2 linked regions of the Caenorhabditis elegans genome follow. The protein of the gene in region 1 purifies or fractionates together with the protein of each later gene. This does not show direct contact. Each region holds a gene or a part of one and is shown in the gene's direction. Other genes may lie near its edges. The genes, in order: famh-136 and F42A10.6.

Region 1 (5,010 bases):
AATACAAGTAGGAGTCCCTATTTTTGGTCAGCTTCCAAAATTAAAAAAAGAAAATGAAAAGCAAATCTCGATCAAAATCTATTGAGCTTAATCGTAAGATCAAAAAAAAATTTCCGCAGAAAAATGTACCAGCACTATTATTGGTGAGAATTTTTCTAAAACATAAACAAAATATGAACATTTTTGCTTCAACAATATTGCAATTTTTAATAAATATTTTTTACCTAAATTCAAAGTTGGAGGATATTTTTCAAGTAAAATAAGTATTCTGCCAATTAAAAACTTTTAGTGAAATTCAAAATTTAAAAAATCTAACTTTCTAATCAACTTTCTAAAAACCATATTCACAAATGCATTCAACAAATATTATGTTAATAGTATGTTTAAACGTTTCCGGTCGGGTCGTGACAAAGTCAAAAACATTGGTAATTGAACAAAACATTCCAATTTCAAAATGTTTTTATGGCTGCAGTTATTCAATAGAATACTCAATAATATATTTCGCTAAAAAATAATTGGAAATGTAATTTTTATTCAAATAATTTTTTTCAACAAACAAAAAAAATTTATAGTTTTTTTTAAATTTAAAATCACATTTTTCAAAAAATTTGTAAAGCTGTTTGCGGGGAACAGGAGGGAGGTGGGGATTACGAAACAAACATGAAATCGATGTGGTTAAGCCGGGAGACAAAATGACCCAATAATTTGTCCAATGACGTGGATGTGTGACACCAAATTCAGAGCTCAAAGCTTCAAACGGAAAAGAATAAAAACCAGGAGAGTTGCTCCAGATTCAGAGAGAGAAAGACGTCTCCATATATGACTCTACGTCTATTCATAATGCGCACTGTCTCTCTATTTGGCTCAGCTGAGCATCATTGGCTTCGAAGCAGTAGAAGAAAGCCGAGAAATGGAAATGGAGGAGGTTAAGAGAGACAGAACGTGTGAGAAAGAGAGAGCGAGAGGGACAAAAATGAAAAGTAGGCGGTTTAAACAAACAAAGAAAAACACAAGGAATATCGGATCGAAAGGATGCTCCGAGGAGCAATATTCGGGAAAAAAAGGAGCTCCGGTTTCAGAATGTCACTTCTGAATTTGGAAGTGTGACAATTCAAAAGAATTAGTATAACTCAGCGGCCCGATTTTTGTACCAAAAATACGGTCTCGACACGACAAACTTTTGTTAATTGCAATTTAGCTGTAAAATGGTGTGCGCCTTTAAAAGAGTACTGTAATTTCCATTCCCAAGTTGTGAGAAAACAGGAGAAAAACGAATATTTATTAAAACAGGAGAAAAAAGATCAGAAGATTTGAGTATTTTGTTTGAAATAACAACAAGTTGACCAAATTATTTGTTTTTTTAGTTTTCAGAAACAGTTTTGTGAATGCATTTCATGAATGGTTTTTGTGTCAAAGCAACGTTATAATAAAATTTAAAAATAAAATATTTTAATCTCTATTTATTATAACGTATTGATTTTTACAAACACTTTACTATTTATAATACAATTACTTTCTTGATTTTGGGATTTTCTTGAAATTTGCAATATTTTCGCAATATTTTCGGAACGACATTTTGAAATCTCGACATTTCACACAATTTTTGCATGTAAACGTTGTATTTGCCACCGTTTTAATTGATTTCTCTCAATTTTAATTTCAGATTCATCAACTACAGTATACTCGCCTTTGACTTTCAAGCTCATCGAGAAGTGCGCCAGCTTCGCATAATCAAGAAGTGCGTCAGCACTCGACTTGCGCAATTCTTGTCAACTGATATGATTTCTTTTTGTTTTTTGGTTATTTTTTGCGCGTTCTTTGTGCTTTTCGTTTTTTTTTTGTTCGTTGGTTTCTTTCTTTAATGAAACGAAATATTTTATTTTAGTTTAGACTTCCAATATATAGAATAATTAAATTGCATATAACATGACGAAAGGAAGTATAATCTGGGATTATAAATTTTGAGCTTTAGCTATCTTCCTTTATCCTTTAATTCTTGCGTCATTCATAAATGACATATCGTTTACTTTCGAAAATTGATTTTCACATGTCCGTTAACAATAAATAATTTAATTTTATAATACTTTTAGGGTAAATATGTCAAACTCAACGATGGAGGCTACTCAAATGAAAGTAAAGCTGGCTGTCGATGAGATGATTGACGATTTGGATAAGACCTATTTGAGGGATATGCAGAAGAGCATGTTTCAGTGCTCAGCTCGGTAATTATTTTCGAAATTACACTAAATATGTTTAGTAAGCAATTTGTATTACGCTAAACCACCTGAAAATGTCTAATTTAACTTCGCAATTGAAAATTTTTTGCATTATTTCAGGTGCTGTGACAACAAGAAAACCACACGCGATGCTGTCGAGAACTGCGTTGAAAGCTGCAACGATGGCATGAAAAAGGCGCAAGGCTATCTTGAAAAAGAGCTCGGAGGGCTTCAAGACCAGCTCTCACGCTGTGCAATGACTTGCTATGATAAGCTTGTTCAACAGTTTGGTCCAGATGTCAATAAGTATTCAGAATCACAGGTGTGAAGATTTATTAAATTTTAGAAATCAAAAAATTTATAAATTAATTTAGGATTTAAAAAATCAACACCCGAGGGGGCTCATAGCTCACAGCTTTTGGTGGAACATTTTTTTGGAATTAAAACAAAAGTATATACAGTGAAAAGCTAGTTTGGGTTGAAAATTAATTTAGTTTTGTCGAAGAAGAATTTAATAGAAATAAGATTTAAATTATAAATCATCCATACATTGAATCGTGAAGCTCTTCAAGATTTCTCTGTCTCTCCTCCTCCTCAACTTCTTTATCAGTTTTGACCTTCTGACGGCATGTTGGGCAAGTTTGTTGAGCTTCAAGCCATAGAGTGAGACAAAAATAATGAAAGCGATGTTTGCATGGCATGACGATAACTGTGGTTCCGAACGTTGTTGGATCAATTTTTAATTCCTCTTTGATGACATGATCTTCAGGAATATCGACGTTGTTTTGCAAGTTATCCAAACAAATTGCACAGGTTGCTGAAAAATAGATTATTTAGGCAAATAGTCAGCATTTTTTCTGAGTGTTTTTTTTTTCAAATACAAGCTTTGCTCAATTTTAATAGTTTCTCATACCATCTTCTTTCTGTTGATCTGTAGTCTCTCGATCCATCAGTCTCAGCGCTTTATATGATTTTTTGTCAATTGGCAAACTTCCAACATTATACAAATCCAGCCATCTTTGCATCGCATCTGTTTGTGAACCAGTACCTTCCGCTCGCATTCCTTAATTTAATATATAATTTGAATGCTTTCTCATAAAATAACTTACTGACGAAGATGGTTTCGAGCATATGCGAAAAAGCTCTAATAGCGTCTCTTTCCGACATATCTAATTGCCAGATAAAATATTTTAAGAAATGACGAGAGATATGGTGACAAAAGGAAAACGTACTTACGCAAGTGCAACGAAAAACGTGCAATTCGTCGTAACGGTGTTTGCGGATTTTTTGCGTGTCTGTCTCGCACTCTCCATTCTTTCATCACGAGTTTTGATGACTATTTATGCAAATTTCGGGGGTTTATGAATCACCAATCAAGTGCCACGCTGTTCATCGATTTTTAGTTTTGTATTACTTTTGCTATTTTAATAGTTAGACCCTCATAAGATTTGTATCGAGGGGTGTTTTTTTTTTAATGTAACATTATGAAATCTAAAATGATTCATTTTCTTTTCTATTCTTTCTGTCGTCTCTAATTAATGATAATTATCAATTTGGTAGAAATTTAGCGATCGCTAAAGACGCACGGTATTATTCAGAAGGGTCTCGGCGCGGAAAAAAGTTTATGGTAGTTTTTAATATTTTTTGCAGCTGCTTTTCCTTACATTTTTCATTGCAATTACCTCGATTTTAGCAAATTTTGCCTTTTTTTAAAACATTTTCATGTTAAAAATTGTTGTAAACCAGTTTTTTATTAAAAATATGTGTTTTTCTGTTTTTTGGCGTGGAAGAAACAGAAAAGTGAAATATATTTTCTTTACGCGCTGAGCCCCATCTTAATAAATTCCGTGCGCCTTTAGCAAGGCATGGCAAAAATATTTATAAGACACATTTCTGTGATCCTAACGCCTCTGATTTCTCACAAAATTAAAAAAAAATTGATCAAAAATTAAGAAAATCCTCGCATTTCAGAAGCTCAGTTTCAACGAGAAGCTCGATTCGTGTGTCTCTGTTTGTGCTGATGATCACATCAAATTAATTCCGGCAATCAAGAAGAGATTCGCGAAAAATACCTGAGAGCCAGCCACACATTTTCCACCGAGTATTGCCATATCCCCTCTTAATTTCCCATTTATCAAAAAAATATCCCATTTAGGCGTATTCTCCACTCATTAGGCTCCCTCATTGTTGCTCACTATTATATCATTATTTTTCTTTCATACTTTTTTAATAAGTTTTCATGCATTCAGTCATAAAATCTCTATCCCAATTGATTTAAACTCTCCTTAAACGTTTTGACCGTATTTCATACTTTTTCCACCGAACTTATTCTCTTCAAACAAAACAACGTTCAGGTACTATGAAAAAAATATTACCGATCATATGGCTCATCAATTTGGTTAGTGGAAGCCTATCACTCGAGAAAAAAGCTCCCGATTTACTTGGAAAAGTATGTGCATTTGGAGATTTCAATGCAGATCGGAATACTGATATTCTGGTTTTTGCGAATGGAACATTGACGATTAATTATCAAGAAACTAAACTTCTTGATGTGGTTAGTTTTTATTTTTTCTTTTGTTGAAATTTCACATAAAAATTTTGAAATTTTCAGCTCGAAGCTTCCAAATTCACACCAGGAACATCGTTTGCCATCAGTAAACCCAGCCTGAATGCAGATTTTGTTGAATGTTCAGTTGGCGATTTCAATGGAGACTCTAGGCTTGATGTTTTGGTGAGTTTATTGAAAACATTGTCATTTTGCTTCATTGAACTTGAAATGCCCCGAAAAACGAAA
Region 2 (3,399 bases), 2.7 Mb from region 1:
AGAAAAATACAGTTTAGCCGAACTCACGCTGTAGGCAGATCGTCATGATGTACACCAAGATTCATTTTAACTTGGGCTCGAGTCTAAACAGAAGTCCGAGCCTGATCCTACGCTTCTTAATAACCAGTTCCCCAAAGTTATTCTACTTGCATTCTACTCCCTTATCATCACTACTTATCACCATTTCACCATTCAAAACTGTCATTTTTTTCAATGAATTCTTGAACTTTCAGCCTCTCACAATGCTTCTCAGGTGTGTCATTCTCTCAGTTCTTTGCATCGCTGCCACTTCTTTTGTTCTCCCAGTTGTCGACAACTTGGCAGACTGTGCTGCACCAAATGGAACCGACAAAGTGATGCACTGGTGGCAGTGCTCATCTGGACCAGTTCAATTTTTGAATGCTACTCCATACGACTCTACCGGAAAACAATACGAGTACCCAATTCATTTGAGTCAGCCAATTGTTGTCAAGACTCAAATCAATAACCCAACGAGCACATATGTGTCGCCAAATCTTCGTAACACCGTCAATATCTGGAAGTATGGAGGATGGAACGGATGCACATGGAGCTCAATCCCAACTCTCGGTCTTTTGTAAGTTTATATCTTTAAGTTAATTCTAATGGATTAGAATGGGTGAACTGTTTAGGCTATTCTCGACTTCTAAATAATAAATAACGATTCATCTTCCAGGAAGGACCTTGACGCCTGCGCAAACGGAGTCCCATGCCCAGTCCGTCCAGGAAACCAAGAACTTGACGTCATCATTGACTTCACCAAGTTCGACCAAATCATCGCCTTACTCAAGGACAATCAGCCATATCAACTCGAGTACATCCTTCACGACAACCAATCCGGAGACACCTCATGCATGATGGTCCAGGCTTGGGCCTTCCTTAAGTAAAATGCTTTCCCATTTGGCGATTGGCTTTAAGATTTCTAATTATATTTGCACTATAACACGGGCGTATATTTTAACAACAATAAAATGTACATAATCTTGACTTTTTGTTGGTTTTTGTTCATTATCAATTTGAAGGAAAAATTTCCGAAATCGAACTAAAGTTGCGATAACATTTTGATAAAAAAGAACTATTCGCACTGGAAAATGTTGCATATTTGCCATTTTGGCAATGAACCAAAAATCAAACAAGTAAACAAGGAATCAGAAATTATTAATAATTTCCCGATTCAGTTATAGTTTGAAAACTGAGAAATTTCAATAAGTACCTAAAGTTGGAAGTATGAAGAATACGTGCTTGCACAGGTTTTTTAAAACTTTGTCTTTCCTTCAATTCATCGGATTTAATGATCAAAATAGAAGAAGAATATAAAAATCGCATAGACGTCAAAAATGAAAATTTTCTTCATATCTTATGAGTACAACGAGTTACTTTACCACGCGTCAATTTCTTAGGCCTCCATTGTATCATAATTTTATTTTAAAAAGCTTGGAATCAGTTATTCATTGTATTAGAAAAACATGGTGCAGTAGCGGCCTTCATATTGACACGTGTTACAGTAACCCGCTTTCCGCGTGGCGAGACCCATTTGCGTAAATTATGACGGAAACTCTCATCTTCTGACGTCTACGTAATATTAAGACGCTGATAAAGCTAAAGTTGCTGAACAAAGTAATGAAAAATAAAAATGTATGGTACCCAAGTTTTAAAGGCGCATAGCACGAGTGAGCAAAATTTTCAATCGTGGCGAGACTTCGAAAGGTGCATTTCTCAGGAATACTCAATATACATATGAAATTTTTTCAATGAAAATGAGTACTTCCTGTGGATATTTCCGGTTCTCTGTGACCTCTTTTTTATTCTAGAATCACAATTACATGCAAAAAACTATTAAAACGCGTGGTTTCTTCAAATTGCCATGTGCTTTGATATTTCTCTTATCGTAGTTTTTCCTATCGAATTTGATGATCATTTTGCAATTTAGTTTTCCATTTTCTCAAATTTCCCAGTTAACCAATTACAGATTCACTATTTTATTCCAACTTAGATCACATCCACTAGCTTTCGAAACGAAAAATTCTACTTCAATTCCAGATGCTTGCTCGTTGTCTGTGTCTCTTCGCCCTACTTGCTCTCTCGTCGGCATGCGATCAATGGCCGAATACTACAGAGACAAAGGTCAACTGGTGGCAATGCTCAAATGGACCAGTTATGGTGACCAATGTTAATCCAACTGATAAGAGTGGTTCGCAAGTTTTCTGATAGTTTCTACGAATGTATAATTGAATCCAGGTAACAGTGAATATCCAATCCGTCTTACTGAACCACTTCTCATTGCAACATCCATCAATGATCCATCCTCAACTTATACTACTCCTGGACTTAAACAAACTATCAAGGTCTGGTCATGGAATATGGCTACTTGTGGATGGTCTTCAGTACCAACTTTTGGACTTTTGTAAGATTTTTGCTTCTTACAGTAACCTACAGTAACCTTTTCCAGGAACAACATCGATGCTTGTACCAACGGAGTACCATGCCCAATTGAACCGAAAAACAAGGTCATCAATTTGGAACTCGACTTCTCTGATACTCCAGCTATCATCAATCTTCTCAAGGTTATTTTGATGTGTATTCTTCGAAAGTTAAACCCCCAATTTCAGAACGATAAGCCTTACCAACTCGAGTATCTTCTTCATGATGACCCGAGCAAGGAAGACCTTTGCATTATTTTCCAGGCTAGAGCTCTCACTCATACTTAAATTTTGAAGTGAACAATTTAATAAAGCAATAAACTTTTTTCTCAACAAAAATTATAAATTGAATTCTTAAATAGTGTAACAAAACGTGGAAACTGGGTGAAATATGGGAAACAACCGAATGCGAAACAAAACAGGAAAAATTTAGGCAGTGAGTTGAAGCTGCTTGTAGACTTGCTTTCTGTATTCTTCGAGTCCTCCCTCCAAAGTTGTCACCATTCGATCCTTCACAACCCAAAGTTCCTTGCACACAAGCTCGATGAGTTGCTCGTCGTGAGAAACTAAAACGACACCTCCATTGAAAACATTAAGCGCTTTTCCAAGAGCTTCAACCGTTTCGACATCCAAGTGATTAGTAGGCTCGTCAAGAATCAAGTAGTTTGGCCTGAAAAATACTATGAATTAGACGGAGTTTGAATAAATTTTTTTTTCTAGGAAAAAATGAATATTTTTTGAAAATGTTGCTATTTTCAAGCAAAACTCACTGCATCAAGGCTAAATTAGCAAATGCCAATCGAGACTTTTGACCTCCAGAAAGTGTCTCAACAGATTGCAAAGCCATATCACCAGCTAATCCAAATCTTCCCAAAGCTGCTCGATAATCTTCTTGAGTCTTTCCAGGATGATTCTTCATCAACACCTCAATAGCTGATGTTTCCATATCCAATTGATCAAC

What was found.
Region 2: the proteins of famh-136 (region 1) and F42A10.6 fractionate together in Caenorhabditis elegans (co-fractionation; one large-scale study listed by BioGRID). This does not show direct contact.

Annotation. Positions count from the first base shown.
Region 1 is NC_003281.10:8,885,661-8,890,670, forward strand, and holds famh-136 (FAM161 homolog famh-136), read left to right. Parts: upstream 1-2,090; 5' UTR 2,091-2,097; coding exon 2,098-2,222; intron 2,223-2,336; coding exon 2,337-2,538; exon of another isoform or gene 2,539-2,755; coding exon of another isoform or gene 2,756-3,033; intron 3,034-3,129; coding exon of another isoform or gene 3,130-3,279; intron 3,280-3,325; coding exon of another isoform or gene 3,326-3,383; exon of another isoform or gene 3,384-3,496; intron 3,497-4,187; coding exon 4,188-4,292; 3' UTR 4,293-4,483; downstream 4,484-5,010. Other genes in the region: putative RING finger protein ZK637.14, read right to left, coding at 2,756-3,033, 3,130-3,279, 3,326-3,383; lnkn-1 (Protein linkin), read left to right, coding at 4,576-4,770, 4,828-4,947. UniProt on the Caenorhabditis elegans protein: May play a role in locomotion and behavior.
Region 2 is NC_003281.10:6,175,521-6,178,919, reverse strand, and holds F42A10.6 (MD-2-related lipid-recognition domain-containing protein), read left to right. Parts: upstream 1-2,058; coding exon 2,059-2,209; intron 2,210-2,256; coding exon 2,257-2,422; intron 2,423-2,467; coding exon 2,468-2,582; intron 2,583-2,627; coding exon 2,628-2,726; 3' UTR 2,727-2,763; downstream 2,764-3,399. Other genes in the region: F42A10.7 (MD-2-related lipid-recognition domain-containing protein), read left to right, coding at 243-595, 695-905; abcf-3 (ABC transporter domain-containing protein), read right to left, coding at 2,868-3,108, 3,209-3,399.